Linked DNA regions of Tamandua tetradactyla. The protein of the gene in region 1 purifies or fractionates together with the protein of each later gene. This does not show direct contact. Links are inferred from orthologs where the notes say so. Each region holds a gene or a part of one and is shown on either strand. Other genes may lie near its edges.

Region 1 (11,178 bases):
CCTCCATCCAATCAATCACCAAATCCCGACAATCCTCCCTACTGGATGACTCTCAAAATTCCTCCTTAAATCTCTGATCCTTTTTTCTATAGTGCAAATCTCATCATTTTACTCTCTTGGTTAAAACCATCAGGGGCTTCCCACTGAACCTGGAATCCTCACCCATACTTCTCTAACCTCACTTCAGGCTAGCCAGCTCACTAGGCTCAGCCCAATTGGCCCTGTTTTACATCCCAGAACATACCACGATCCTTTCGACTTCAGGACCCTTGCACAATCCATCCTCTGTGTGAGAACACTACCTCTCCAACTTGTCACCCATGTAACAATGGTTCTTCAGGCCTCAGCTTGAATATCAACTTCCTCAAGAAGAATATCAAGATGGCCACCTTGTTACACACTCCCACAGCATCTTTTATTTACCAACCCCCCTTCTAAACCTTACTTACATTTGTCATTATTATTTGCTCAGTGCTTTTCTTGCCAATTAAGTTGTGAGCTTCATAAGTTCAAAGGTCATATATACTATTCATAGTATCATGCTCAGCATTCAGCCTTATGCCTGGTACATGTGAACTGAATGAACAGGATTTGCCAAAGGATTCTTTGATCATGGTATCACTATACAGGTACGATGAGTAGAACTAAGAGAAATCTGAGGATGGGGGAGGAGTCAGTATTATGGGAAGGGGTGGGGAAGATGTCAGTATGGTGTGAGATGAAAAGCTACACTGTTCAACATTAATCAATAAAACTTGCAGGACCAAAAAGAGAGAAGGAAAAAAATGAACTTACCAAAACCTTGCAGTGAGATGGATCCGAAACAATAATTGTCAGTCTAGTTAAAATTTTAATTGGTCTTGATTTTCCCTATAAGTAAAAGTGGACCATCAAAAGCAGCTCAAAATACCACTGGTTGGCTTTCCTCTTTATCATCACAAAGTATTCATTACAAAGTATCAGCTATAAGGGACACTGAAGATCAAAAAAACAAATAAACCCAACCCCCAAAACAGAAAACAAAAGCAAAACTAACTAGTCATTGTCATCAAGGAATTTATATATAACTACAGAAGCAGAGATGCACATACATTAAACCATAACAGAGATAACCTGAAAGTTGTTTAATTTCAAGGGATAAGATCCCAAAGAAGTACCAGGGATGATAAGAGAATACTTCACAGAAGAGCTGAGATTTGATGGAAAAGTAAGGTAGCTAGGCAAAGGAAGGTACAATCCAGATTACAGAAAGCACACATAATTGGGTATGTCTAAATTAAATGAACAGGAATTATGCTTTGTTCACACTAAAACACTTACCTGTACAATTGGCAAAGTTGTGAAGAGTTCAGAAACAGCTACTGGTTTTTCAATTTCCTACAAAAAAATAGAAAGGACTAAATATCGTGATTACAAATTCAGTCAATAGGCACCTTTAAAATGGTAATCAAAGTGACTTATTTAATGTTGAATCAACTTTAAGAATCCTTACAGCACGCAGTTCTTCACAAAAATATTTATCATTTGCACAGTAAGCATCAATTCACAACTGTTAACATACAAGAGAATACTGCACACAGAGAGTGCATTTAAGAAGTATGTTCATTTGTAGCATCCATATTACCAATATAAACACAAGTAACTATAAACATTGGTTTATTAAGCTCAGAAATTGTATTTTACCTGTTTCTTTTCCTTAAAGTCAACAACATGATTGATGGCAACAACTGAATAGCCAACTGAAAAAAAAAAATTAAAGATTCTTGTTAAACATAACTCCTTTCTGTACATACAGGCCCATCCTGTTTTAGCAGAGTGATGTGCAGACTCTGGTCTCAGATTGTCTAGTTTCAAATCCAAGTGCTACCACTTAGAATTATTTAACTGTAAGTTTCAATTCTTCATCTGTCAAATGGAGATGGCAGGACTTAGGTCATACAACTTTCATGAGAATTAAATGAGCTAACACATTTGAGGTACTTTAGAAGAGGTCTAGCTTTATATGATTAGCAAGATACTAAAGACTCTCTATTTTGTGCTTCTCCTTTCCAACCATCATTCTCTTTCATTCCCCTTTGTTCATTTTCATTCTATTAATACTTTTTCTCTCTCACCTATCTTTTCACTCATTTCTTTTGCTTCTGATCCTATATCCTTCAAAAGCCTCTCTCCTAAAGAGAAATGAAGTACTAACTTCCTCACACCACCATCTACTTCCCATTTGAGCTGCCCACCATCAAAAGATTTTCTTGAGGCCAGGCGCTTACTTTATCATTCTCATCCAATTGACACCGTTCTGAACATCCGGCTACCAAACATATGTCTAAATTATGACTTCTATTTTTAAGGCACTTAAACCTTAATGGGGATGATGGCACAAATATTAAAAGATAATGCCTATTAATGAAAAATAGGGGTCTTCTCTCTCACCAGTCTGTCTACACTCCTGCCTTCTTTCCTTCCTCCCTCCCTCCACTTCTTCCCTTCCTTCTTCCTTCTCTTCCTCCTTCAGATGTTTACTGAGCATCCACCACCTGCCAGGCCCCCTGCTAGGTGCTGAGCGCACAGGGTAAATAAAACAATACAATCCTCACCCTCAAGAAGCTTACACTCTATTGGGGGAAATAAGGCAATTAAACAAGGAGCTGCAAAAAAAAAAAAAAAAAAAAAGCATTTTGTTAATGAAAGTAAAGATTCTATAGGAATCCAGCATACAGCAAAATGAAGCCAGGTGTAGGGGGTCAGAAAAAGGCCCAGGAAGAAAATGATCTTTAAAAGTAAACACCTGAGGGGAAGAGAAATTTGTCATACTTTGGCCTCTACTTTCTCCCAGTTAGTCAAATCAACCTGCTCCACTTCTTAACTATTCTTCTCTACTCACTCCAAAGTCTACTCTAACCTCTTGTACCCCACTTGGATATCCTTTATATTGTTGGCCACCAAATAATATCCCTACTGCCCTTCAGAAATCTCAACTAGATTCTGTTTCTTCAGAAAACTTTTTCTACTTATCTGGTAACTTAGGAATACTTCCCTAAGTAGTCTTTAGCATAATTATTATTTAGATAGCATATCTCTGAAGTTAATCACTAGTTTCTTATCACATCGCAAACTAAAAACAGGGACTCTGTTTTCTACATTCTTTGAAAATTTTCCACCCATCAAATAACAGTGCTTTGCCTTCTGACTTATATAAGGTGTGGTAACTTTCTGTTTTATGTCATGAATTCTGCTTAATTTTAAAGAAACAGATTGACTAACAATGTCAATACTTTACCATATATCCTTCAAACATATTTTTAATTCAAGTAACTTGTTAAACAAACCATTTTAATTTTTCTTTTCTGTATTTATCTCTAAAAAATGTTCAGTCTTTTATTCCATAAGCATTAACTGAGAACCTGCCATGAGCCAGTGCTGCTGAGTAACTGTTGTGCCCAGGAAATATATTGAAGAATAAGACTATGGCCCCTCTCTGAAGAAGCTCATGGTGTAGTCAGTAAGAGGCTGCATCAGGAAAGAAAGACTTGAGTTGAGCTACATTCAAGTAAAGAATCATCAAAGAATATAAGTGTTAAAAGACCCATATCATCATGCACAATCCCTTTTTCTACTGATGAGGAAAGCAGACCCCAGGCCGACATTACTAGACTGTGTTGCAAAGGAAAGAAAAATGATTTAAGGATGCCTCATGGGGGTGTGGGGGGTGACGGGGAAGGCAAGAAGAAACGCGGTGATTCTTTTTGCCAGGGAGTGAATTTATCCAGCACCATTTCTGAGAAGTATCAGTTATCAATTCTCACAACAAGCTGAGAACTTTCTCTGAGGGAAAGGTCTTAATGAAGGAATCTCTATCTTCTAAGTTCTCTATCCCCTCACTTTACAGTCTAAGAAGTTAGAAGCCATGCTTAGCCCCAATAATTAGTCCTCATCACTCAGGACCTTCGCTTCTCTTCAATTCAAATATTTGCAACACTTCCACCTTTTGGTTGTGCTGCCTAGTGTGTCCCCCTCCTCTACCTAACCCCCCTTCTAAATAAATAACATTATTCAAACACACGCACCTCTATATTCTCCCCCTTCTCTGAGCCCCCAAGCACTCTACGTACTCGATTCCCGCATTTGCTCAGACATTGTCGTGAGAGGCAGGGAGGAGTGATGTTCAAAGCACTAGCTTGGGAAACTGAACATTTGGAGTCTAGCCCTAACTTCGGCCATCCCTTTCAGCCGTGAGGACCTAAACAAATCTCTAGTCCCCTCTAGGCCAAGGGTTCCCCAACCTGCAGAATAAAAGGAGCTGAACTAGTGACATTCTTCCCTAGTTCCTTAGTGTTCCACGGGTCTGGGATCAGAATAAGACCGCGGCGGGCATCAACTTCTTGGGACCTTCCAGAAACCCTGGAAGACCTGAAGGAGGCCTGGGAAACTCGGGAGACTCACGGTGAGCGGCGTTCTCTATCACCCCCCGCAGAGCCTTCAAGTCGGAACCCGCTCGAACATCCAAATCTGCAAACACCGCCATGCTGCAGTCACATGACAGCGCGCGTGCGCCCATCTGCGCAGTCGCCGGACCGCCCCTGAGCATGCTGGGAATTGTAGTTTGCCTGCGGCATCCGTCCGTCCCTCCCTCCAGTGGAATATTTGCTGGAGTTGGATATTTGAATATAGGGAGTCCCGGAGACTTTCGTCCGCCTGTAAATACGAGGAAAACTTAGGATATCAAAATCAACAGCCCCACTTAATCCTTTTGTCTTTCGAATGAAAATGTGTGATTTCCCCATAGAGAGGTTCGAATCCCCCATGATTCTCCCTTTAAAATAATGTAGAAAATGATTCATTCGAAATGCATTTACTGAGCGTCTTCCGTGACTTTTTTTTTTTTTTTTTTTTTTTGCTATCCTTTTTGCTAAGGGCTGGAAGCGCTATTTAAAGAGTCAGAAAGAACTTGTTTTTCTTACAATTCCCCCTACCAATCCAATCGTTCAAAACGTGCTTAACGTGATGGGGTGGAGGACGAGGGTACGGAGCTGGATCCTAACGCATCTGAAAAGGGTTGCCCGAGCAAAGGGCAATTTATTGTCCGATCTGAAAGGATCGCGTTGATGCTCTTTGCTCGTTGTTGCAGTAGTCAACATCTTCAACCAAGAGGTGGCAGGGCTCCCTTGGTTGAGCGCTGAGCGACACAGGGTTGATAAGGAAGGTGCAAAATTGAAGTGTTTCACAATTCTCCATCTGAGAAATGTACAAAGTGCTGTATGTCCACACATTTGATGTTTCCATATTTTGGACTTTACAATTCTCCATCTGAGAAATGTACAAAGGGCTGTATGTTCACACATTTGATGTTTCCATATTTTGGACTTCGTATAGATAAGCTTTTGACCACATCTCAATTGCTCTATGCTCTGTTGAATGAGTCCACTGATCAGGCGTATGGATGTTTGGATAATACCAGAGTGCTGGTAAAGTTTTCTAAACATTTTTGATTTCTGTACTTACCGTCAAAATTAGTGGTCCATAGCCATATTTTATGTAGTACTTCTTTATGTGACTTCCTTGTTGGACTCAGAGTTTTATGAAGAATCTGTTCCCTGTAGTAGAATGCAATTCTTCTCTTAGTTAAATTTTGTAAAGAAGGAATATTTCGTCTTTTGCAATACTTGATATTTTCCTACGTGAGAACTGAAGGAAATACTACGTTTGCAAATAGAACAAAGTCATGAGAAGCAAACCGTTTGTTTTGCGTCAGAAAATAGTGTTGATTTTGCGGGATCCTACAGACAGTTTCGCCTATGACCACAAACTCTAGATTGGTCAGAAACATGAATGTGTGGTGAAGGTAAATAACATAATTTAATTGTCATCTAAATGGCAGCATTGGGACTAAAGAGGGCCTTTTCCTTTGAAAGTCACCATGCTGCTGCTGTAGACTGTACCCCTGGAATTTTTTTTCTCCTCTGCACCCTAAGCCTAGGTAAAAAGGGAGAGAAAGTGTGAGAAAGAAAAAGAATAAATAACAAGTCACTGAGCCCTTTACTGAGGATTAGGTGATTAAATAGATAGCCACATATGAATATCTTATTTAATTCTCAAAGCAACTGTGTGAGTTAAGTACTATTTTTGTCAACACCAGTGTTTCACATCTGAGGAATCAAAGCTTAGGGAAACTGGTAGAAACAGATGTGGATGTAGATTTAGATGGGATTTGCTCAATTCTCAGTGGAATGGGGAGAGTGGAGAAGAGAAGGGAATGAAGAGGACAAGGAAAGGCTGGAGGGGAGAAGTGAGAGAGGAAAGGGAAAGCAAGGCAGGAGAGAGAAGGAAAGGAAAGAGGTAGAATAGGGGAGGGAAGAGTGGGAAAAAGGAAATGATGGGATGGGATAGGAGAGGAGCAGTGAAGGAGGCTGGTGAAAAGTTGGCCTAGAAGGGTGGCTGAAGCAGCAAGGATCTGGAGCTTAAAGAAGACTCTGGAAATTTCTGGTCAGAAAATAATATTGAAAGTGGGAAAATGAAAGACAGGGAGAAGGTTTGTATGTTTCCAAAAATTAACATTAAAGCATGTTTGATTGAGAAGATAAAGAGTAGCCCTACCTCTTTAACATGAAAAGTGTACTGGAACAAAATAGGCAACTTTAGAAGCCATTTTGAAAGAAATTAAGGAAGGATTATAACTGATATATGGAAAAGATGCATTATGATAAACTTAATGAATGGAAATAAAGAGAACCAAAATGTCAATAGGATTTGTTTTTAAATAAAGATTGCTGTCTTGAAATTGTTGCATATTAAGTGAAAAATAACTGCCCAGGCAACTGAAACTTTTTACAGAAGGCATGCTTACAAGTAATATTTATTGAAAGCAACAGGAAGATCAGGCCCTAAATAGAAACTAGCATTTTCAAATGCAATAACGAAAAATCCTATTGCTCAGAATGTTGGATAAATGGCTTACAACTTGCAGGATAATTTCATGAAAAACTGAATTATTTTTGGTATTTTCCATTGCAGCTGATAAGAGAATAAATATATAAAAGCTATCTGTGTTAAGAATTTTGACGTGACTAAAAATCTTTAGAGATGGTGGCCAAGAAAGGCACAACATTAGGAGACAGTGTGTTTTCGTGGACGGTTAAAAGTCTTGAGGATTTTAGAGTAGACTGGTCAGAATTGATAAGTATGACTATAGATGGGACTCCTGCAGGTGTCAATCAGTGTTAACATAACTTATGAAACATAAGCTTAATGTGGCAATATTTCATCAGGGCACAGAACTTAATCCAATCTAGTATAAATTGTCCAGAAAATTCCTAGAGCTGTTGTAGCAAAGTTCCACAGATTGGTGGCTTAAAACAACAGAAATTTAGTCTCAGTTCTGATGGCTGGTAGTCCAAAGTCAAGATGACCTCAGGGCTATGGTCCCTTTGAAACTTGTAGGGAAGAATTCTTCCTTAGCTCTTCCTACTCTGATGTTTGGTAGCAATCCTTGGAATTTCTTGCTTGCAGCTGTGGCATTTCAATTTCTGCTTCCATTCTTTATCTGTGTGTCTGTGTCTACATTTCCCTGTTCTCATGAGCACACCAGTTATTTTGAATTTAGGGTCCATCCTAATCCAGTGCGACCTCCTTTTAGCTAATTATATCTGCAAGACCCTATTTCTAAATAAGGTCACAATCTGAAGTTTCGGATGGACATAATTCCTTTTTTGGGGGGAACATTATTCAATCCAGCACATCTCCCAAATGGATCCCACTGTTCTCATTAGTAGACCTATATTACAAAAAAATTGTAATGAGATGCCACTGCTGTATTTTGAATTTTCTAAAAAAACCTTGTAGAAATTTGTTTTCTTTCTTGACATTTATATGGCTACACAATAGCCTTTGTTTTGCATCTTGGCCGACAATACCTAACATACTTACTGTCTGGCCCTTTACAGAAAGAGTTTGCTGATCCCTGCCCTAAGTCACTGCTTAACAACAGTGTTCTAACAACACTCTGTCTCAGTTTGCCAGAGCTGCTGTCACAAATACCATGAAGCGGTTTTGGCTTAACAACAGGAATTTATTGGCTTATGGTTTTGAGGCTAGAAGAAGTTCCAAATCAAGATGTTGGCAAGACTTGCTTTTTTGCTGAACCCTATACATTCTGGTTCTGACTTCTGGCAGTCCTTGGGGTTCCTTGGCGTGTATCCCTGCCTCCCATCAAATGGAGATGTGCTTTTTTCTGTTGGCACTTCCTGTTTCTGCTGACTTCTGGCTTCTCCCTGTGGCGCTCTCTAATCCTGCATCTGATTTCTTCTCTTTATAAGGCCTCCTATGTGGATTGAGATCAACCCCGATTCAGTTGGGCCACACCTTAACTAAAAATATTTCTTAAGGGTCCTATTTGCAATAGTTTCATACTCACAGGAATGCAGATTAAGCACATGTCTGAATTGGGGTACCTAATTCAATCCACTAAGCCCTCTATTCCACCTCCCATTTTACCCCTGGGGAGCATTTGGAAATTTGTGTGGGTATTTTTTTGCCTGTCACACTAATTGGGAGGTGGACTGGGTGATATAAGGTGGGAAAGTCTTGTGCAATGAACATATATCCCTTGTTCTACACGAATTTTGAATGTCTTAACAGACATTCATATGGAGGGAAACCTGTTTATGATTATGTGAATATGGAAACTAACTTGGTTTTACATATAAACACAATTTTTTCCCACAATTTTAATAAGCACAGAATTTTCCAGGAATGCAACTAATGGGTAAATAGAGGGAAGACTGTGCTTTATTTGGAATTTTTTATAAGGGTTGTTCCCTATTTCAGAATATCATGTCATCATAGCAACAGTATGCACACTGTTTAGGTTAACAATGCAGCATACTTATATGGTGTGTGTGTATATATATATATATATATATATATACATATATACACACATATATATATATACACCCACACACAGACACGTTCCCATACACATAAACACACACATATATAATCATCTAATATATCTTACCTAATATATGCTATGTAAGTAAATATATAAATAATAATAAGTATATATATACATACTTAACTCTTATTCAAAATACTGCATATAAATTAGAGGTGCTGACAACATTCAATTAGTTATCTTGTCTTACATCTGAACACCTTTATTAGGAGTAGATACAAGTATCTATTTTATTATATTTTTGATCCAGTGGTGCCCAAACATTCACATACTTAAATGTATATTTATTTATTCTTTCCTTTTTTTTCTGAACTATATTACAACTTGGGAATTAAGTATATTTAAAATTATGTTTATAAACTAGGAAAGGAGCATTACAAAATATTTTATTTAAAAAGCCGATTTTGGATCTAATAAGTTGAGAATCATTGCCCTGAATAAAAATCCACTGTGCTTAGAATCTATCCCTTTTAAGAAATATTTCTATTTCTGCAAAATGATTTTTGGTTATGAAAATCAATAAAACTGAATATTGTTTCTATTTGGCACAATCAAGCCTGATTTCTTGGATTGCACACAGCAATACAGTAATAATAATACTGCGTTTGTCATTTTAGTTTAGAAAAATGCATCAAGTTTCCAGTTTCAATCAAGGAATACTGAATTATTTTTTAAAAATCAGCTAAATATTTCTACTTCTCAAGTTGTATATTTTCAATTTAATATATAGTTTACAGCATGGTTTTGCAGTCTCAGCACTATTAACGTTTTGGGCTAGATAATTATTTCTTTCTTGTAGGGGCTGCCTTGAGCACATGGGATGCTTTGCAGCACTCCAGGCTTCTACCCACCAAATTTCTACAACTGTGCAATGGAAAAAGTCTCCAGACCTTGCCAAATGTTTCCTAGGGCACAAAATCCCAGGCCAATAACATTTTAGTGCTCATGGTAGGTAATTGCAGAGGATAGGGATTGGTGAATGTTTTTTTGTTTGTTTGTCTTGGAAGAGAGGTTCAGAAAGCCCGTAGGATGGGGAAAATATCTTAAGATCATAGAAGAGATGTGAATTGGTTTTCCTTAGGTAATAGGCACTTTCAGGGAAGTGGGCAAACTTCTTTTGGGAAGGGATGATCGATGTACCTTTTGAGGCTAGGCCTTAGATCCTAGGTGTCCAGCAAAGTCAAGGTCTCCACACTACAGAAGGGCAGAGGAGACATAGCACTGCTTGGTGGGACCAAGATTCCAGGACTATTCTGTAGTCTGGGGGTGAGGGACAGGGCAGGGGAACCCATAATAATGACTGTAGTTGAGTTTCCCATCAGATAGATAGGTTGGGGGGTGGTCAGAGGTCATATTTAATTTGACTTTAGAAAAATTATGTGACACTTCTTGCACAGAGTAAAATTTATACCCACCTCACATAGCATACGTTTCTCTATGATCTGCCCCTACCCCTCCCTAAAGTCTACCCTTACCATCTTCCAGTGCATTCTAAAATACACAGCTCTGGCAAGTGTACCATGTGTTGGCTTTGCACCTTCCTTTCTTGCAGTCTTCTGATGAATTTTCTCAAATGTTAGCTCTGTGAATTCTTTGGTATCTAAAAAGAAGCATCTCTTTGCTCTAGGCTCCCATATCTTTGATTCATACCTATTTTATGAGGTATTTCACATTACGCTATAGTGATTTACTTATCTGTCTTGTCCAGCAGGTACTGATTATCTGCAGTGCAGGGAACCTGCCTTTCTTATCCATCCTTAGCACTTAAAATGCTGCCTTTTAATATGTAGCTTGTATGTGTTTACTGAATGACTCAAAGAATGGATCAGGTATAGTTTTGCCTGGATGTGGAGTCATGACCATGATGGAAATGTTCAGTTTAGATATTATTTTGAAGAATACAGGATTCCCCAAATTCTGCTGAGCATTAGAAAACAAAGAATAAGATGCATCCTGTCAATTCTTTAATGAAAGTCTCTTTTCATTCTTTCTATTTTGATTCTTTAAACACCCCCTCCCCTTTAGCTTCTGCCCCAATTTCCTGCTACCCTTTCTGGAAAACTCCTGCAAAAGGTAGATCTATACATATAGTCACCATTTTCTCTCTCTCATTATCTTTTTTTTTTTTGGTGCATGTCCAGGAATCGAATCTCATCTTTTTTTTTAATCAGAAAAGTTGTCTAATAAAAAAATGTTGTGCAGAAAGTACAGAGTTCTCATACACTCCC
Region 2 (9,645 bases), on another chromosome or scaffold:
TTTTTTTTTCTTTTTTAACTTTTTTGTTGTATAGTATAACATATACACAAAACAAAGAAATAAAAAAGCAGTAGTTTTCAAAGCACTCTTCAACAAGTAGTTACAGGACAGATCCCAGAGTTTGTCATGGGCTACCACACAATCTTCTCAGATTTTTCCTTCTAGCTGCTCCAGAATATAGGAGGCTAGAAGGCTTAAATATTTTTTTATCACCACAATGAACTTTTTTTCTTTCTTTTTTTGTGAAAAATAACATACATACAAAAAAGCAATAAATTTCAAAGCACAGCACAATTAGTTGTAGAACATATTGCAGAGTTTGACATGGGTTACAGTTCCACAATTTTAAGTTTTTTACTTCTAGCTGCTCTAAGATACTGGAGACTAAAAGAATATCAATTTAATGATTCAGCAATCGTATTCATTTGTTAAATCCTATCTTCTCTGTATAAGTCCACCATCACCTTTGATCTTTCTATCCCTCTCTTTAGGAGTGTTTGGGCTTTGGCCATTCTAACTTTTTCATGTTGGAAGAGGCTGTCACTAATATGGGGTAGGGAGATGGAATTAGCTGATGTTCTGGAGAGGCTGGACCCTGTAGGTTTCAGGACTTTTCTGGTCCAGGGACCCATCTGGAGGTTGTAGGTTTCTGGAAAGTTACACCAGTGCATGGAACCCTTTTTGAAATCTTATATATTGCCCTAGGTGTTCTTTAGGATTGGCTGGAATGATCCTGGTTGGGGTTTGGCAGGTTATGATAGGTAGCAATGTCTAACTGAAGCTTGCGTAAGAGTAACATCCAGAGTATCCTCTCATCTCTATTTGAACTCTGTCTGCCACTGATACTTTATTAGTTACACTTCTTTTCCCACTTTTGGTCAGGATGGAATTGTTGATCCCACAGTGCCAGGGCCAGATTCATCCCTGGGAGTCATCTCCCACATTGACGGAGAGACTTTCACCCTTGGATGTCATGTCCCACATAGCGGGGAGGGCAATGATTTCATTTGCAGAGTTGGGCTTAGAGAGAGTAAGGCCACATCTGAGCAACAAAAGAGGTCCTCCACAAGTAACTCTTAGGCATACCTACAGGTAGGCTAAACTTTTCCACTACCTACATAAGCTTCACAAGAGTAAGCCTCAAGATCAAGGGCATGGCCTATTGATTTGGGTGTCCCTATAGTTTGACACGGTAGCAGGGGATTTCCTGCTGGTAAAGTTTAATAGTTGCATATTTTTGCTCACATTCCTCAAGGTACTTTGTCAATAGTTTTTGATGATCTGTTTAATATACTCTAGAATGTATCCAGGCATTACATTAAGCTATACAGGATTAAAGGACCTCTTTCTTATTCTGTGCTCCCTGTGTTTGACTTGTTCAAATGAGCTATACAGATAGGTTGAGTTAGATTATGTGCTACAGAAAATTTGGGTTCCAGACCAAATAAACCTTTCTTCCTTTGGTCTCAAAGAGTATTTGTGATTCTAAAATAAAAACACTTAATCCCAACCTGATTGGCTTCATTCTTATCTCTAAATATCAGGTTATTTATATCCAGTAAATTTATATCCAGTAAATATTTTTAAAAATATTTACTTGCTTCTTTGTATTGCCTTCTTTGATTCCCCTTTTCTTTCCTTATATCTATATTTAGTTATTTTCATAATGGTAAAATTGTCATTTCCATTAACTTCTTAACTAATAACCACCTAGTTTGACTAGTACTAACCTAGTCTCAGACATATATAAACTCTCTATTCCTATATATATTCATCGCTTCCCCTTTATATGTTATGCAGATTACATCTTTTTACACTGTGTGCCCATCAACCTAGATTTTAAATATTTTTTTTTACACATTTGACTGTTAAATCATATAGAGGAGGATAAAAGCACTTATAAACCAAAAGTACAATAATACAGGATTTTATATTAACCTAGGCAGTTACCTTAGGAATGTTCCTTATTTCTTCTTATGGCTTAGAGTTACTGTCTAGTGTCCTTTTATTTCAGACTGAAAGACTTCCTTTACAATTCTTGTAGGGCAGATCTTATGGTAATGAACACTTTTAGCTTTTGTTTATCTGTAAATGTCTTGATTTCTTCTTCATTTTTGAGGGATAATTTGCCGAATTTAGAGTTCTTAGTTGACAGTTTTTTTCTTTAAAGACTTTAAGTATGTCGTCTGGCCTCTATGGGTTCTTTTGTGGGGGATGGTGCATGGTCGAGAAATAGAACTCAGGTCTCCCACATGAAAGGCAAGCATTCTACCACCAAACCACCTGTGTACCCCCTCCATGGTTTCTGCTGAGAAATTCACTGTTTATCTTATTGGGGACCCCTTGTATGTGACAAGTTGCTTTTCTCTTGCTGCTTTTGAAATTCTCTTTTTGTCTTTGGATTTTGACAATTACACTGTAATTTTTCTTGGTGTAGAGCTCTTAAAGTTCATCCTGCTTGGAGTTTGTTGAGCTTCCTTGATGTGTATATTCATGTCTTTTATCAGATTTGGGAAGTTTTTGGCGATTATTTGTTCAAATACTTTTTCTGCCCCTTTCTCTCTCCCTTGTCCTTCTGACACTCTAAGGATGTATACGTTGGTATACTTGATATCACACAGATACCTCACGCTCTGTTCATTTTTCTTGATTATTTTTCCTTCCTGCTGTTCACACTGGACACTTTCAGTTGTCTTCTTTGCAAGTTTGCTGATCTTTTTTCTGCCTGTTCAAATCTGCTACTCAATCAGTCTACTGAGTTTTTCATTTCCATTACTGTACTTTGTAGCTCCAAAATTTGTTTGCTTCCTTTTTATAATTTTCATTTCTTTATTTTGTCAGACATTTTCATAATTTCCTTTAGTTCTTTGTATATGGATTCCTTTTATTCATTGAACATGTTTAAGACCGTTGATTTAAAGTCTGTGACTAGTCATTCTAATGTATGAGCTTCCTCATTATGGTTTCTTACAAATTTTTTTTCCTGTGAATGGGCCATACTTTCATCTTTCTTTGTAATTTTTATTGAGAACTAGACATGCTGAGAATTATGTTTTTTAACTCTAGAAATCTAGTTCTCCCACTCCTCTGTGATTGCTAGGTTTTTTGTTTGGTTTTGTTGTTGAGGGCTGGAACCATCAGTTTGTGACTTTTCCAAACTATTTTTGCTTCCAAATGAGGAATGGAAAAAGACAAGAGAAAAAAAAAAGATACTGCCTCTTTAAAAGCCCTCTGCTGCTTTTGCTTTGAGGAAGGATGGAACAATAGCTGTCTTCAAAGCCAGTTCCCCAGCAATCTGAAGTAGCTGATCCAAAGCAGTGAGCAGTGATCAAACCACCACCACCACCACCACCACCACCCCAGGCTTTGGAGGACTTAGTCCTTATATCCTTCATGGCACTATTAAGCTGCACCAGGAGCCTGGGCTTTAGTCCCCAGTACTGCCTGCCACATGATTGGGGGATGGGAGATAGTAGATACTGCATGGATGGTGAAAGTCACAGATATTTACCAGCTTCTTCCTCTGGCTGTTTCCTAAAATAATTGATTCAGATAGTTCCTGCCAGCTCAGTATTTGTTTTGGGCATGGGGGAGGCAGAGTGTTGGGAATGGTTATTGGTCTTTTTTACTACACCATCTTCGTATAATCCTCCCCATCCTTCTCTTCCCTTGGCAATTTGTTCCTTCATTCTGGGGTTAAGCATCACATTTTCTGGGCTGTATGGGGAGTGGGGGTCTCTGGTGAGCAGGAAGTAGGAGGTGGGGTTTTTGCCTAACTCCATTCTTTGCCCCTCCCTGGCCCCGCAGGACCAGTGTATGGAGATCACTGAGGAGTCCAAGGCTCTCCTGGAGGAATACAACAAGATTGTATCCTTTCTGCTCAACCAGGCCCCTAATGGGTTCTGTCCCCAAGCCCCATCCTTTTGTCCCACATCAATTCTCTCAGCCCTTCCCAACCAGCCTGTCTATTCCCCTGTTCCCCCACCCCACCCATTTTGGCTCACAAGAAGTCTCTCCAATCCCTCATTTAAATTCCTGTTCTTTTCACCTTGACTTGTGTGTGAACAGACAATGCTTCTCTCCAAGCAATTTGTGCAGTGGGATGAGTTGCTTTGCCAGCTAGAGGCTGCCAAGCAAGTGAAACCGGTGGAGGAATGATACTGCTCCCCATCCCAGGATGGCCAGGCTCCAAGGCCCTGTTCCAGCTGCCTCTGTAGCTGTGCAGAGGCAGCTTTCTATATTTATTGGACCTACAACCACCTGTTCACACTCAGGTGGGGCTCTGAGGCCAGAGATCAGGGGTTACCTGGGATTTGCAATTTGCACCACCCCCCAGTCAGTGCCCTCATTTCAGTGACAATAAACTATAAATACCAATGGGAGTGTGCTGGCTTTTGTTCTAGCATGGGGGTGGTGGAGCGCAGAGCTGACAACCAGCCTAGTGGTTGGACTGGGAACTACACTCATCTTGGTCTGTCTTTCAAGGAGGTGTGGAGCTCTCACAGTGGAGGCTCCCATTTGATTCTTATGAGTGGCACATTCTTTTATGCATCTATTTATCCTATGTCTAAGCACCAACTAAATGCCAGACCCCATACATGGTGGGAAGGAAGCAGGTAGAACCCATTTAGGGGAGAAGCCAGCCAAGGAAAAAAGCAGTCACACCAGATGGTCACAGGGTCGTTTGGTCCAAAAGAGGCTAATAGGGGAGGCAGGCCTGGTGGGTGATAGGCTATGATTTTGAGAGCCAAGGAAGCAGTATGTATAAAGGCAGAGAGGTGCCTTGAAGTTTCTTTCCTGGGAACCTACTTGGTGCTATTAGTTGAGAAGGGGAGCCCCAGAAGAGATGGAAGGTTTGGATATCGAGAGTTTTAGGTTCTGGGGAAAGGGAATTGGGAAGGAGATGGGGGAACGTGATGAGAAACAGCAGGGAGAGACTGAGCTCTGTACCAAACTCCAAAAAGTGTTTGCTGCCCCCTTGTGGTCTCAAAGAGTACTCTGGCTTCAGACCCCTTTCCAACTGCCTGCCTGCCACCCCACCTACGCGGGTTCATTAGCCTCAAATTCAGCCTGTCAAAACTGGTCTAAAACCTGAGAATCATCCTAGACTCTTCCTTCCTTCCTTCGTTTCTTCCTTCCTTCCTTCCTTCCTTCCTGTCTATCCAAACAGTCGCCAACTTTCTACTGAATACCTCTTCTGTATCTCCCAACCTAGTCTACTTCTCTTCATTTCCACTGCCATTTCTATTTCATTCATTCAACAAATCATTTAAAAAATAACGGAGCGTCTGGTTAGCCGCTGGCCACGGTAACAAGCTCCATGACACGGCCCCGGGACCCCGCGGCCAAAGGTTACCAGCGGTTGCGGCTCGATTTCCCCCACCAACCTCTTCTCTGTGGCTACAGTGAGCTGTGCACACGACCTGGTTCAACTGGCCCGTGTTGAAAACCCCTCCGTGGCTCGCCAGTTCCCACAGGATGAGGTTGAAATTCAGAACTCAGTAATCAAGTGTCTTGCCTGTGCAGCAGCAGCCACTTCCAACTAAACCTTTTGCTCCCTTTGCTATTGCCGTGTCCGTTAACTGCAGTTTTCCCATCTTCCAAAGGTTAATCCTCCCCATGCTTCAGACTCTGAACTCCTCTGAAGGCCGTCCCTTCTATCCACAAGGCTCTTTCCTCCTCACCGTCCCACCTGTGGGAGTGCCTCTGCCCAGGGCGTGGCAGCGGATACCTTGCGCCTGCACCCAGTCCCGGGCGTCCTAGCTCTGCTCAGTCTGGGTGTTCTGAATGGTTCTCAGTTGCCACTGCAGAGAGGCCGGGCGGGCCGCGTTGCCTCCGGCCCCGCCCCCGAGCGGCGTGCGCGGCCCCGCAATTTCGGCGCGCTCCCGGACCGCGCGCCATCTTAGCTCTGGACCCGGCGTGTGGGGCGCTGCGGCGCGGTGAGAGTTGGGACCTGGTGGGGTGGGGGGCGCCTGGACGTGGAGGTGGAGAGAAGGGAGGGCAGGCGGGTTTCTCAACGGCTGCGGCCCTCGGGGTACTGGGAGCGGCTTGGCGGCGAAGGACACTGTTGAGACCGGCCAGGCCACCGGTTGACGTCAAGAACACGCTAAGCAGCCGCCGGTGTCGAACCTCTGCTCCTTGAGTGACCTGAGCTGAGAGAGATCGACCCTGGGAATCTTGGGGTCGGGGATGTCCCGCCTTGTGCAGGGGAGCCCCGAGTGGAGAGGTCGGTTCTCTTCTTGGGGGGCCCTAGGTGAGGACTCTTGGCTCTGGCGTGCGGAGAGGGAACTTGACAAGGACGCGGGGGCCGGGCCCTGTGCCTAGGATCCCAGAATGAGGACACCAGTCCCAGGCTTAGGGAGCTTGGGATGTGGGTGCTTGATGCTATCTCAGGGGCTCCAGAATGGGGGCGGGGATGGGGACGGTATGGCTTTGTCCGGAGGAAAAGGGAACAGGAAGTATAGGGTACAGTCCATCCTAGAGTGAGGCAGACATGGTCCATGTCCTGAGATGCTGAGGATGAAGTAATATGGTCCTGTCTCCTGGAAGTCTAGGGTGAGGAGTAGGGCTGTGTCCTGGAGAGTCAGGGTGGGGGATGACCTGGGACACACTGCCTAGCACTCATATTTGATACTTCCCTGCAGTGTGCAGCAAGAGTCGCAGACGTGATCAAGCAGTATGGAGCACTACCGGAAAGCTGGCTCTGTGGAGCTCCCAGTGTCTTCCCCAATGCCTCAGCTACCTCCTGATACCTTGGAGATGCGGGTCCGAGATGGCAGCAAAATCCGCAACCTGCTGGGACTGGCACTGGGTCAGCTGGAAGGCGGCAGCACCCGGCATGTGGTGTTCTCAGGTTCTGGCCGAGCTGCAGGGAAGGCTGTCAGCTGCGCTGAGATTGTCAAGCGTCGGGTACCAGGCCTGCACCAGCTCACCAAGCTACTCTTCCTGCAGACTGAGGACAGTTGGGTCCCAGCCTCACCCAACACAGGCCTAGACCCCCTCACAGTGCGCCGCCACGTGCCTGCAGTGTGGGTACTGCTTAGCCGGGACCCTCTGGACCCCAATGAGTATGGCTACCAGCCCCCAGGGGCACCCCCTGGCCTGGGCTCCACACCCAGTTCCAGCTATGGCCCCCGACCCCGAAGAAGGGCTCGAGACACCCGATCCTGAGGACATGCTGAGCCAGGCTGTTTTCCAAGCCTCAGTTTCTGGGATGGCTGTGCCTTCTTCCAGAATCCTTTCCAGTTGCTCAACATCTCCAACAAGACTTGGATCCACAGAAGTGGCTTTGCTGTCCTTCCTCTGCCGCCTGAAATATGATAAGGGTTTGCTATAAAGAGTAACAGGTGTTAGGTCTGGATTCTGGATTACTTAAGAAGGGCCCATGCTGCTTTCCACCTATAGTGCCTCTGCTCTGCCTTTTGGACAGCGATCCAGGGAGTGAGTTAGGAAATAAAGGTTCTGCCCATTTGTCTGATGAGCCATTGCTCAGCCTGATGTGTGGAGGTGGAATTGGGGGAATGGATGCCCTTGCCTTCTGGGAGCTCATGGGCTGGAGACAGATATAATAGGCTCAGGCTTGTGTGGGGATGGTCTAGAATCTATGAGAAACTTAATAAGCCTGAATATATCTAGGCTTCTGGGTGACTGCCTGCCACCTGCTTTGGGTTGGTTTAGGGACTCTCCCTCAGGTCAGACACTTTTCTATCTGCGGACATATCTTATGGAACTTAGGCACCAGGCTGCTGGGATTTGAATCCTGGCTCAACCACTTAATTGTTTTGTGACCTTGGGCAAGTTACTGTTCTGAGCCTTAGTATTCTCTTCTGCAAAATGAGATTTAGTGCTTATCTCATAGAGTTTTTATTGTTTTTTTAAAAATGTTTTTGAGATATCTTCATATATGTACAATCCATCCAAAATATGTAGTGGGTTACAATATCATCACATAGTTGTGTATTCATCACGATGATCATTTTAAAAATATTTGCATCACAACAGAAAAAAAAATAAAAAGGAAAAGCCCATACATCCCATACCCCTTATCCCTCCCTCTCATTGACCACTAGTATTGCAATGTACCGCAATTTTTTTTTATCCCTTATACATCCCCCTCACATTTATTTTTTTGTCCCTTTTTTTTTTTACTCATCTCTCCATACTCTGGTAAAGGGAAGTGTCAACCACAAGGTTTTCACAATCACATAGTCACATTGTAAAAGCTATATAGTTGTACAGTCATCGAGAATCAAGGCTACTGGAACAGTAGTTCAACAGTTTCAGATATTTCCCCCCAGCCATTCCAATATACCACAGATTAAAAAGAGATATCTATATAACACATATGAATAGCCTCCAGGATAACCTCTTGACTCTGAAATCTCTCAGCCATTGAAATTTTATTTTGTCTCATTTCTCTCTTCCCCCTTTTGGTCAAGAAGGCTGTCTCAATTCCATGATACCGGGTTCTGGCTCATCTCCAGAAGTCATGTTCCATATTGCCAGTGAGATTTATACCTCTGGGAGCCTTTTCCAACAGAGGGGAGAGGGCAGTGATTTCACCTACTGAGTTGGCTTAGAGAGAGAGGGGCCACATCTGAGCAACAAAAGAGTTCTTGGCGGGTGACTTTTAGTTCTAATTATAAGTAGGCTTAGCTTCTTTGGAGGAATAAATTCCATAAGGGCATGCCCCAAGATGAAGGGCTTGGCCTGTTAATAGTCCCCACTGCTTGCAAGAATATCAGCAATTCTCCAGATAGGGAAGTTTAATATTTCCTCCTTTCTCCCCAGTTCCCTAAGGGGGCTTTGCAAATACTTTTTAATTCTCTGCCCAAATTACTCTGGGATGTATCAGGGTATCACACTAATCTGTACAAACCAGCAAGATCTCACACCCAATTCAGGATTCCCTGTAATTCCTCATAGGGTTTTTATGAGGATTAAATGAAGTAATATACACATTAGATACCACCTGAACACATGGTACCCTATAGATGTTAATTGCCATTATTAATGACTCAGTCTATAAACATACTTTTTCCTATCTTAAAACACTTCAATACACATCCCCCTCCGGGTCTGATTCTTGCCTTTCTGCCCCTTTTGGCTTCTTTGCTTCACTTTGGACTGAGACTCTCAGATCTATCATGGTGAGGCCAGCGGCACGATGAGAGAAGTAAAGGTTGCAACAGTAGCTGTGGGGCTACAGGGACCAGAGAAGGATTGTGGACAGTGGTGGACTCAGTGAAAAGTTGAATCAGTTGGGTCTCCCACTGGGTTTTGAGGTTTTCTACAGTGTATCTAGCAGCCTGGGTGTCCAGTTACCAGGAAAGCAGAAGGTTGGGGCTCTTGTGGGCTCACATTGTAGCAGATTAAAGCCCTTTTATTTGAGCATGTTAAAGTGGTATTTTGTGAGTCCAGCAAGGAGAGGTTGAGATGTTGAGAAAGGTGGAGGTGGGAACCTGACTGCTTTGGTAAGGGCTGAGAGCAGGAGTAAAAGGACCCTGACTGTTGGGCAGATGAGGGGGGTTGAAGGAGATCAAATAGGAGACTCATGGCAGCAACCCAGCCGGGCCTCTCAAACGCTGAGGATCATGGCATTGAACATGCCCCTAGAGGTGATTGTGACTTTACTTTGGTAATCAT
Region 3 (11,122 bases), on another chromosome or scaffold:
AGAATAGATTGAAAAACATAACCCAACTACATGTTGTTTACAAGATACACATGTTAAATTCTAAGACACAAATAAGTTGAAAGTGAAAGGAAGCAGAAAAAATGGCACAGAAATAGTAACCAGAAGAGAGTTGGGGTAAATACCAATATCAAACAAAATAGCCTTTGAGTCAAAAACTGTTATGAGGTAAAAAATATATATATAATGATAAAAGAGTCAATTCATTAGGAAGATATAACAATTACAAATATTTATGCACCTAATTACACAGCCCAAAAGTAAATGAAGCCAACACTGACAAAATAAATCACATGTAATGAATGCAGCCTTTACCACTTAATCAGAGGGATGTAAAAGGAGCATATGTGATAGGAGATATTATATTTAGGACAGTTGATTTAACATCTTTGACTCATAATTCCAATGTCTGACCTTCAATAGGGAAGTTTTCTGTCATTTTGTTTTGTTACTTTAACTGGGTCATCTTTTCCTGTTTCTTTATATGTACTGTGATTTTTTTGTTGAAATCTGTATACCTGAACATTTTGATGCATTAACTCTGTTAACTCTGGAAGTCAGATCAGGCATTCATAACTGTAAATTTCTCTTTGAGCAATGCCTTCACTGTATTCCATAAGTTCTGGTATGTTGTGTTTTTACTTTCATTTGTCTCAAGATACTTCCTAATTTCCTTTGTGATTTTTTTATTGGACCCATTGATTGTTTAATACTGTGTTGTTGAATTTCCACATATATGTGAATTTTTCCAGTTTTCCTTCTGTTATTAATGCCTAGCTTCATTCCATTGTGGTCAGAGAAGATACTTTGTGCAGTTTAAATATTTCAAAATTTACTGAGACTTATTTTGCAGCCTAACATGTTCTATACTGAAGAATGACAGTGCAGTTGGGAAGAATTTACATTTTGCTGTTATTGGGTAGCATGTTCTATATAGGTCTAGTAGATCTACTAGACTTATAGTGTTTAAGTCCTCCATTTCCTTACTGATCTTCTGTCTGGATGTTATCTGTTACTGAGAGTGGCATATTGCAGTCTCCAGCTATTATTGTAGAATCATCTATTTCTACCTCCAATCCAAAGTCTAAACAAACGAGCACTTATTAAACCATTCCTGTTATTATGCCTGTGGAAAAATACAATCTATTTTTTTTTTCCAAGTAGTAGACTTAAAATAAAATATTGGGAATATGATCTGTTGTAAGTTAGGAGCATATCCCTGAAAAAGAGATTTAGAAACATGATAGAGGAACATTCTGCTAAGCCCTAGCTCCATTCCCCCATACTAAACAAATATTTACCTAGCACTTTATATCTGTCAGACACTACCTATCTTAGGTAACTCATTATGAAGCAAAGTTGCAGCCTTCATGAAGCTTACATTCTAATAGAGGAAGGGGGGAGATAGCAAATACATAATTAAATAAGCATGCTGATTTCAAATCATGACAACTGTCTAAAGAAGCACATTTTTGGCAGAGAGGGGTGGGGCTACACAGTAGAGGCGGTGATAGAAATCTCTCAGAGGAGGTAACATCTGTACTGAGACCTAGAGAAAAACAAGGACAAAGACCCCGAGAAAAGGATAAGGGGTCTACCCTGCACATTTGAGGGGTCAGGAGCACTGTGGAGGAAAGATGGAATGGTAGATGAGGCCAGTGAGGTAGGCAGAGGCTGAGTTATCTAAGCTTTTATTCTATGACAATGTGAAGCCAATTGCAGGGTTTAAACAGGGGGCTGGTGTGATAAAAAGCATGTGGTAGCTTAGAGTTATGTACCCCAGAAAAACATTTTCTGACTTTTAATCCTTTCCTGTAGATGGACCCCATTGTAAACAGGAGTTTTGATGGGGTTACTTCATTTAAGTTGTGGCCCAAATGAATCAAGATGGGTCTTAATTCTATTACTGGAGTCCTTATAGAGATGGAGTCCTTATAGAGAAGGCCACAGAGAGAGAAGCCAGAAGGTGGAAGGCAACAGAGTCAGAAGGATAAAGGAAAAGACACTGTCACTTGCGTTGGCATGTGATAGAAAAGTCAAAGGACCCCAAAGATTGCCAGCCAGCCGAAAGATAATGATCTCCAACGGAAGCAAGCTTTCTAACCTCTAAAACCATAAGCCAATCCATTTGTTCTAGCAAGCAGAAAACTAAAACGTGTTCTCAAAAGACCACTATGATGCTGAGTCAACAGCATGAGGGGAAGCAGGGAGATGTGTTAGAGGCTGTGTTTAGCACTAGACCACTAAGAGATGAAAGTGGCTGAAGCTAGTTCTGGAAATGGACACAGGGAGAAGAGGTTGTAATCAAGATGAATTTTGCAGGAAGACCCAACAAGACCTGTTCTGTGGATTGTATGTGGGGTGATAAGGAAAGAAGAGTCAAGGATGGGTTCTGGGTGCGCGGTTCTGAGTGCACCTTCTTAGGGGAGAGAATGAAGCACCCTCGGGTTTTATCAACATATGGACAGTTTTCAAGGTTGTGAGATTGTGTGGCATCACTCTGAGAACAGAGGTAGACAGAAGAGAAAAAAGGGCTGAGATATCCAGAGATCTGGTGGAGGAGGAAGGGCAGAAGGAAGAAGAGTGGAGGAAGTGGAGGGTAGCCAGGAGAAAGGGGTCTCTTGAAATTCCAGAGCAGTGTTTCAAGAAGGAGGAAGTGGGACAACTGTATCATCTGCGTCAATGCAGCTGAAAGGTTGTCTGAGACAATAACAAAACTTGACCATGGATTTGGCAAATTGGAGGTAACTGATGACCTCAATAAAAACCATTTCAGTGAAGTAGTGAGGAGGAAAGTTCTAGTGGAATGTGTTCAGAGAGAAGGTGAGGGGAGGTAGCTTGAGAAACAGTATGGTAAATGGAAAGGAATTGGGAGTGCAAGGAGGTCTGTTTCATTTAATGCACAACATGCAGATGGAAATGATCTAGTAAGGAAGGAGAAACGAACAATATTAGCAAGGGATCATATAGACACAGAACTATAGAACTCAGGGGACATAGCCTGAAAGGACTCCTCAGCCCCAAATATACTTAAGTGTACAGTTTTATCTTTAAAATAAATGGGACTTTTGCCTTCTCTTTCAGAATGCAGGCACAACCCACAAAACACATTCCCAATATTCCTGGACGAGTGTTTAGTGCCAAGCAGATATTTATCTCCCAATATATTATTCAGTTGATGCTTGTATAGATAAAACTTAAGAGAATATTTAAAATTAAATGGTTTGCTGGGAAAGTTTCATGTTGCATTCCAAATACAATTGGTAGAACATTCAAATCATGCTAGTCAATTTGCAAAGATTTGGAGACTCAAGAGAGAAGACATACCTCTCTGATGTTGCTGGTATAAATGAGGCCTGGCAACTGCACACAAAGCAACTGCTTATTAAAAAAACATAACGTGTTTTAGTTTGCACAAGCTGCTGGAATGCAATATGCCAGAAAAGCAATGGTTTTTAAAAAAGGAATTTATTAAGTTGAAAGTTTACAGTCTAAAGCCATAGAAATGTCTAAACAAAGGCATCCAGAAAAAGATACCCTAACTTCATTGAAAGAACAGATGAAGTTCAGGGTTTCTCCCTCAGCTAGGAAAGCACATGGTGATGTCTGCTAACTTTTTCTACTGGCTTCTTCATGCAGCTTCCCTGGGGAAAGTTTTCTTTATGCATCTCTGCCAGCACTAAAGCCTTTTCCAAAATGGTTTCCTCTTAAAAGGCTTCAGTGAGCAACCCCAGCTTGAATGGATGCAGACACATCTCCATGGAAACCACCTAAGCAAAATTTACCACCTACAATTGGGTGGACCACATGTCCATGGAAACAATAAAAAGGATCCCTCCCAGCAATACTGAATGAGGATTAAAGAACAATGGCTTTTCTGGGGTACACAATAGTTTCAAATCAGCACATAAGGCAATGAGGAAGCAATGCTTTAAACATTTCCTATCCTGACACGATATTATTTATAACATATCGTGGTGCCACACATGATTTGGGAAATTGGTTGGGGATTTTCATTGATTTGTTAGGCCTTACAATTTTTCCTACTTTAAGCAATGGGATATAGGTTCTCCTTGCCATTTTCTCTGGGAAAGTCTGATTTTTCAGGCACAGAGTACTGACCTTAATGGCAGATGACTTTCCAGGCTTGTCTTAGTTCTAACTTATTAATTACTCAGCTTGCCATTACTTAACATCTTTTCTTTCATCCCTTGTAGTAAAATGAATACTCTTGGAAGATGCACCACAGATATTGTTTTGCAAAGAATCTGGGCTGTGCACACTGCAGCTTGAGCAATATGTAGTAGCTGTAGTCATGTAGAACTTGGAGTTAATTAGAAAAATGAAATGGAGAATGGCAGAATTATCAGTGTAATCATCAATAGTTACACATTATTAGAAGTGTTTAGAAAGAGTAGGATAAAACTCTGAGACATACTGCAAGAGGGAAATGCAGGATGGGCTTGTTATCATATATACTTCAAACTACAGTGGGTGTTCCTAACATTTTTGAAAGGATCAACAGAAACTCTTGACCCTGTTCATGTGTTATTTATAGCTAAGAGATACACAACAGGATAATGAGGTGTGAGCCATACTGTGCCAGAAATGTGGCATGAGTGTGGTCACCCAAACAGGTTTGGAGGCCAATTAACTGTGCAGTGTTTCCTCAATTGTACAATTCAGTTGGACTTCCACTTTGAGTTCCCCACATTTTTTATGATAGTGGCACTGAGTAGCCTACCTAAGCAGGCCTGACCAGGGCATGAGTTTTTCTGTCAGCCTATCTCAGCCTGCAGCCAGCCAGATGTCCCAGACGTACATGGAAGGGATTTGTGTCCAGAGACATCAACCCAGAGGGATGGAGGAAAAAGTTGCTTATAATAGACAAGCTCCAATTCCCCAGTACAAGTATTTCCATTTAAGGCAGTGAATTTATGGTTCCAGAAACCCACCAGGGTGATTATGCATGGCTTCTTAAGAAACCTAAGGAACTTCCAGAAAGATCCCAGGTACTTTGGGCAGTAAAGAAAAAAGTATTTGCAAAGTCCCTTGAGACAGTGGAGGAAAAATGTTAGATTTCCCCATCTGGGGAATTCCTGATATTCTCTTAAGCATTAAGGGGTCCCAATTCAATAAGCCAAGCCCTTGATTTTGAGGCTTGCCCTTATGAAACTTATTTCTGTAATGGTAAGCTACGCCTACTTATAAACACACCCAAGAGTCACCCCAAGAGAACCTCTTTTGTTGCTCAGATGTGGCCTTTCTAAGTCAAACTCTGCAAATAAACTCACTACCCTCCCTGCTAATGGGACATGACTCCCAGGGGTATAAATCTCCCTGGCTAAATGGAACATGACTCTCAAGAATGAGCCTGGCTCTGGCATCATCGGATTGACAATGTCTTCTTGACCAAAAGGGGAAAAGAAAAAATAAAGTTTCAGTGTCTAAGAGATTTCAAATAGAGTTGAGAGGTCATGCTGGAGGTTAGTGTTACGCAAGCTTCAGCCAGTTATTGCAAATTGCCACAGTAGGCCAAGCCCCAACCAACAGTATGCCTGAAAACTCTAAAGAATACCCTAGGCTCTAAATTCCTTTTTTTTTTTCAGAATCTTAAAGCCCGCAGATAGTTTTTATGCTAGACAAGCCCTGAAATCCATAGCTACCAGTCTCTCTAAGAACATCAACCATTTCATTCCTCTATCCCGCAATGTCAACACTCCTTTTCAGCATGAAGAAGTTGGAATGGCCATTTCCAGATATTCCTGAAGATTGAGAGAACTATCAAATGAGAGGGAGGCATTGTAACCGAGAAAGGATTTAACAAATGATTATGACTACTAAGTCATTATGTAGCCATTTCTTTTTAGTTTCTAGTACATTAAAATAGCCAGAAGGAAATACCTGAAATTGTTAAATTGTAATCAGTAGCCTTGATCTTTGATGTCCCTATGACTACATAGCTTTTAGCTTATGACCATGTGAGTGCAAAAACCTTGTCACTGACACCCCCTTTATCCAGTGTAATGGTTGATGAGTAATAACACATGAAAAAAATAATAGGTTGCAAATATGTGGAAAAATACCTCTACATAAGCTATGGACAATAGTTAATATTACTTAAATCTCGCATCAATTCTAACAAATGTAACTACTGCAAAAAAAAAAAGCAATTACAAAAAAGCAGTATCATCAATTTCCAAACCAATACAAATGAAGTGGTGTATGAGAATCCTGTATTTTATACGTGATTACTCTGTAAACCCACAACGCTTTTAATTAAAGGGAAGGGGGGGAGGAGGGGACGGGAAGAGGCAGAAGAGCAGGGAGGGGAGGGAACCTAAGGAACACGTAGAAAGGTCCCAGGTACTTAGGCACTCAAGCTGCACCCACCCACAAGCTCTGCTCGCCACGTGCGCCGAGAGACCGCACTGCGCATGCCCGAGGAGGCGGGGCGGCGGGGTGGGGCGGTCCGACGACTCAGGCTAGTTAAGAGCCGTTCCGGAATCGCGGAGAGGATGGCCACCCTGCGCGGGATTCGAGAGGTGCCCCGGCACTTGCTGGTCTGCGAGAAATCCAACTTCCGCCACGAAAAGTCACGCCACCGGCACCTCGTGGAGACGCATTACCACAATTACAGGGTGAGTCGCTGACCCGGGCCTTCGGAATCCCCTCTCGATCTCCGTGGGCGGTGTGGTGGAGAGGCCACCGCGCTGGGCTGGGCGGTCCTGGGCGGGGCCGTCCTCGCGGTGCAGGCTGGGAGCCGTCGTTCCGTCGTCTCCTCGGAACCGCGTCTCGCTTGTCTGTGAAGACTACTACTCCCACGATGCCTTGGGCGTGGGGGGCGGGGCCGAGGAGCAGTGCGCGGCCTCACCCTCCCGCTCGTTGCTCAGGTCCCCACCGGCCCACGTGGAGTTGTGTTCCCCGAGATGCGAGGCGGTGGCCCGGGCGCCGGGGTAGGAGGGCGTGGTGTCGGCCGGGTGCCTCTGGTGCCCTTGCTTCATACCCCCGCCGCCGGAACGCTTATGGCTCTTTCCAGAACGTTGTGGCCAGCTCGGGCCCAGAAAGCAGCCTCTTTTTTTATCCGGGAGTCGGATTGAGATCCCAGAAACTTTCCGTTTAGCCTGCTGCGCTCTGCTTCCTCTAGCTAACATGTCATCCTCTCGGGGCGCCGTGAGGCATCAGGGAGGTGAATTATTGGCTTGTCCAGAATGTGCGGAGAGTAGAGGAGAGCGACCCAGATTTCCAAGCGAGTGTCTGGTGGGTCCTTTTCCACTAACCCGATGAAGCGGAGAGGCGGCCAAAAAGTCCACCAACCGTTAAAGAGGATAACGGTTTAAATATTTTACAGTTTAAATCGATCAATTTAATCTCTAGTGAGGCCTGACTGACCACTCAGAGACCTGAGTGGTGGCGCCCGGAACTGACTGGCGTTAGAGCTTTGGGAAAGAGCCTTTCAGCTTGTGGAGCGCTTGGGTGATGTTTGAAATCTGTCGAGTTTTAACATCCTCTCCTTTGGATGGAAAGAGCATCACAAACAGTATTGAGGGCGTGAATCCTAACACATAGGGTCTAATCTGTTGGCTTTTTCTGTTTGTGGAAAATCGAAACATGGAGGGACGCTTTACTTCCATGTAATCTTGATCATTGGACGGCCCCAAATCCTTATACCTTGAGGGTCATTGCCTTTGATTCCAGGATGCTATCAGGGTAAACAAATCAAGGAATGTGCAATTGTCCTGTATTTCCTCAAAAACGAATTAAAGTAATGAAAGGAACAGGACATAAAATACTTTGCAAAAGTTAAAATGCAAGCCATACCTTCGCGTTAAAAATTCTCTGCTCTGTCTCAATCCTATACTGTATGTTTGAATGCAGAAACAAAAACCCTGAATTGTCAAATATCTTTTTTTTCCCCTGAAATTGGTGATTTAAGAGTTTCATGCCCAGAAACCTATAAATGAGTAGTTAGCTTTCATGATGCAGTTTTTTTCCTTAAGAACCTGGGCATGACTGCATGAAAATAAGACCTTGTTTATATTATACTTTCTAATAGGTTTCATTTCTAATTCCTGAATGTGGGATACTATCAAAAGAACTTAAAAACCTGGTCATGGAAACTGGACCTTATTACTCTGTGAAGAATTTACCTCTTTATGAATTAATTACACATGAATTTATCAGCACCTTTGTAAAGAAAGGTAAGAAAACTATGCAGTGTTTGTGAACTTGGCAAAATGGAAACTACAGGTAGACCATGCCACAGTACTTGGGTTCTTCTCTTGTTTAATTCAGGCCCCTGGTGAAAGTGTATATAGCCAGATGCAGACATGACCCTACCCCCACCCCTGTATTTTCATCCTTTTGGAGAAGTTGTGGGTGTACAGAACAAATCATGCATTAAAAAAGCAATTCCCATATACCATCCTACTACTAACGCCTTGCCTTGGTGTGGTGTATTTGTTACAATTGATGGAAGCACATTTTTGTAATTGTACTATTAAGCTATAGTCAGTATTTTAATGTAAGGTTCACTGTGTAGTGCTATTTCATGGATTTTTAAAAAAATTTTTATTACTGTATTTACTACCTACTATTTCCCCTTTTAGCCACATTCAAGTATGTGTTTTGGTGCTGTTAATTATATTCACAGCATTGTGCTACCATCACCACCATCCATGACCCAAGTATTGCCATCATTTTAAGCCTTAACTCCTGTGGTGGTTTGAAGTTGTATGAATCCCAGAAAAACATGTTCTTAAATCTAATCCATTCCTTTGGGTATAAATCCATTGTAACTAGGACCTTTCGATGAGGTTACTTCAGTAAAAGCGTGACCCATCTCAATTCGAATACGTCTTGAATCCTATTACTGGAGTTCTTATAAATGGAATGAATTCATACATAAGAGAGAAAGGCATGGAAGCAAAAAGCTGAAGTCAGTGCAGCCTAAGAGAAGGGAGAGACCAGGAGACACTGCCATGTACCTTGCCACATGATGAGCTAAGGACCAACAGCCAGTGACAGCCAGGCCCAGAGTGCCACAGTGTTGGGGAGAAGGCATCACCTTGATGATGCCTTCATTTGAACATTTTCCTGGCCTCAGAACCATAAGCTAATAAATTCCCATTGTTTAAGCTGTCATTTCATGGTATTTGCTTAAGCAGCCTAGAAAACTAAAACAACTCCCTGTTCCCATCCCTGCCCTGACCTCTAGTAAACCTATAATGTAAATTCTGACTGTGATCACTTATTTCATATCAGTGGGATTATACAATATTTGTTCTTTTGTGTCTGGCTCATTTCACTCAACATCATGTCTTCAGGGTTCAACCATGTTGTCATATGTGTCAGGACTTCATTCTTTTTTATGATGTTCAGTTGTGTGTATATACCACATTTTGTTTATACATTCATCGGTTGATTGACACTTGGGTTGCTTCTGTGTGTGGCAATTATGAATAATGCTGCTATGAACATCAGTGTGAAAATATCTGTTTGAATCCCTTCTTTCCTCGCACTCTTGTGTCTTCTTAAGGTGGTGGGTTTTTTTGTTGTTGTTTTTTGAGCTACATCTGTCCACAAGTGTTGATGCAGATGTTATAACATGAAGGTATCGGGCCTCTTAAAACAAGGATCATTGGAGAAGGAAAGTCTTTTATTCTCACAGATCTGTTCAGACACGCTGCTCTTGGGGATGTGGCTAGAAAGACTGCTGTGCTTTCAGCAGGCCCTACCACAGCTGCTGTGGTTGGAAGGTTGGTCTCCTGGTGTGATCACAGCTGCTCTGCACAGAGCGAAGAGTTCCTTGTGAATGAGAATCTTCACTTAAAATGTTTATGGTTCTCACCTTCTGCTGCTTACTCCATTCCTAGTCATATCTCCTGGGTTGATTGATCTGTTCTGGTTGTTTCCTGGGCCCTGGTTCTGCCATTTGTTTGAAACTGTATTTCAGGGTGTCCCTAGGGTTTCTACCCTCACTATGTGAGTAATGCCAGTTCAGCTCCCAGTGTAGTAGCCAGTTACTTGTCTTATTGTTAACCCCTATGTTATCTCTCCAGGGGAGCTGTAATGAGTTCTAATTAGATGGCAGTGGTAGCTGCTGTCATTCTGAGCTGCAGGCATCTTTGGTCTCACAGACAAATCTAATCAATTTAACCTTCCCAACTACTGTGCAGAGTAAGCCTTATGATCCCCATTTGACAGGTGAGGAATCTGAAGCTTGGAGAGGTTGAGTAGCTTTCTTAACTTCACACAAGTTCCTGATAGATTTTGAGTCTTAACTTAGAATTCTGCCTCTAAAGTGTATATACTTAACTGATATTCTACCTTATGCTTCCCTCCCACTGTGCCCAATTGTATACAGTCCATTCTGAGTCCATTTTCTCTTGATAGTGAGTTTGCTCATACAGATCCTTGGCGGAGGAAAATGAACTAGCTGGAGCTTGGCCTTCCATGTCCCTCTTGACAGGTTTTAGGTTATTGAGTGAGCTACATCAGTAGCATACTGTTTTCCTTTCCTGGCTGCTAAAACAAATACCATACACTGGATTGTGTTAAACAGTGGGATTTATGGCTCACAATTTCTGAGGCTAGATGTCTTGCTTCCTCCTGGGGTTGGTATCTTCTGGTTGGTGGGTAGTCTTTAGGGTTCCTTGGCCTTTCCTCACGTGACAATGCACATGGCAGTGTCTTTTCCTTTCTCTTTTCTGGTCTGTGACTTCCAGCTTCTGGCTGCTCCCTTGGCTTCTCCTTCCATGCCTAATTTCCTGTACTTATAAGGACCTCAGTCATATTGGATGAAGGCCCACTGTCATTCAGTTTGGGCACACCTTAACTAATAACATCTTCGAAGATCCTGTATATAAATGGGCTTATACCCACAGGACCAGTAGTTGGAACCTAAACACGCCTTTTGTGGGTGACACAGTTCAATCCCCAATATACACATTGACCATTAATCACCTGGAAAATTTATCACATGAAAATGATCTGACATTTCAGTTGTTTTTCTTTGTCTTGATTTGCCCTCTGGACTTTGTCTTTCAGGCTCCTGCTATGCACTAACATACAATACAAATATTGATGAAGATAATACTGTTGC

Evidence for each region. Proteins that work in one complex are often made in the same cells at the same time.
Region 2: the proteins of RPP30 (region 1) and RPP25L purify together in Homo sapiens (co-immunoprecipitation; 3 studies listed by BioGRID and IntAct, counting the BioPlex papers as one, with this or other methods). This does not show direct contact. The link is inferred for Tamandua tetradactyla from reciprocal best matches to the Homo sapiens genes RPP30 and RPP25L.
Region 3: the proteins of RPP30 (region 1) and RPP40 purify together in Homo sapiens (affinity purification with mass spectrometry; 3 studies listed by BioGRID and IntAct, counting the BioPlex papers as one, with this or other methods). This does not show direct contact. The link is inferred for Tamandua tetradactyla from reciprocal best matches to the Homo sapiens genes RPP30 and RPP40.

The regions. Positions count from the first base shown.
Region 1 is NC_135339.1:54,519,588-54,530,765, forward strand, and holds the start of RPP30 (ribonuclease P protein subunit p30), read right to left. Parts: upstream 4,548-11,178; 5' UTR 4,523-4,547; coding exon 4,441-4,522; intron 1,740-4,440; coding exon 1,684-1,739; intron 1,378-1,683; coding exon 1,321-1,377; intron 871-1,320; coding exon 796-870; intron 1-795. UniProt on the Homo sapiens protein: Component of ribonuclease P, a ribonucleoprotein complex that generates mature tRNA molecules by cleaving their 5'-ends. Also a component of the MRP ribonuclease complex, which cleaves pre-rRNA sequences.
Region 2 is NC_135328.1:61,312,709-61,322,353, forward strand, and holds RPP25L (ribonuclease P protein subunit p25-like protein), read left to right. Parts: upstream 1-5,866; 5' UTR 5,867-5,939; intron 5,940-5,953; exon of another isoform or gene 5,954-6,253; intron 6,254-6,644; 5' UTR 6,645-6,678; coding exon 6,679-7,170; 3' UTR 7,171-7,480; downstream 7,481-9,645. Other genes in the region: DCTN3 (dynactin subunit 3), read left to right, coding at 3,808-3,867, 4,069-4,158. UniProt on the Homo sapiens protein: May be a component of ribonuclease P or MRP.
Region 3 is NC_135351.1:7,328,112-7,339,233, reverse strand, and holds the start of RPP40 (ribonuclease P protein subunit p40), read left to right. Parts: upstream 1-6,457; 5' UTR 6,458-6,536; coding exon 6,537-6,659; intron 6,660-6,889; exon of another isoform or gene 6,890-7,170; coding exon of another isoform or gene 7,171-7,278; intron 7,279-8,074; coding exon 8,075-8,219; intron 8,220-11,067; coding exon 11,068-11,122. UniProt on the Homo sapiens protein: Component of ribonuclease P, a ribonucleoprotein complex that generates mature tRNA molecules by cleaving their 5'-ends. Also a component of the MRP ribonuclease complex, which cleaves pre-rRNA sequences.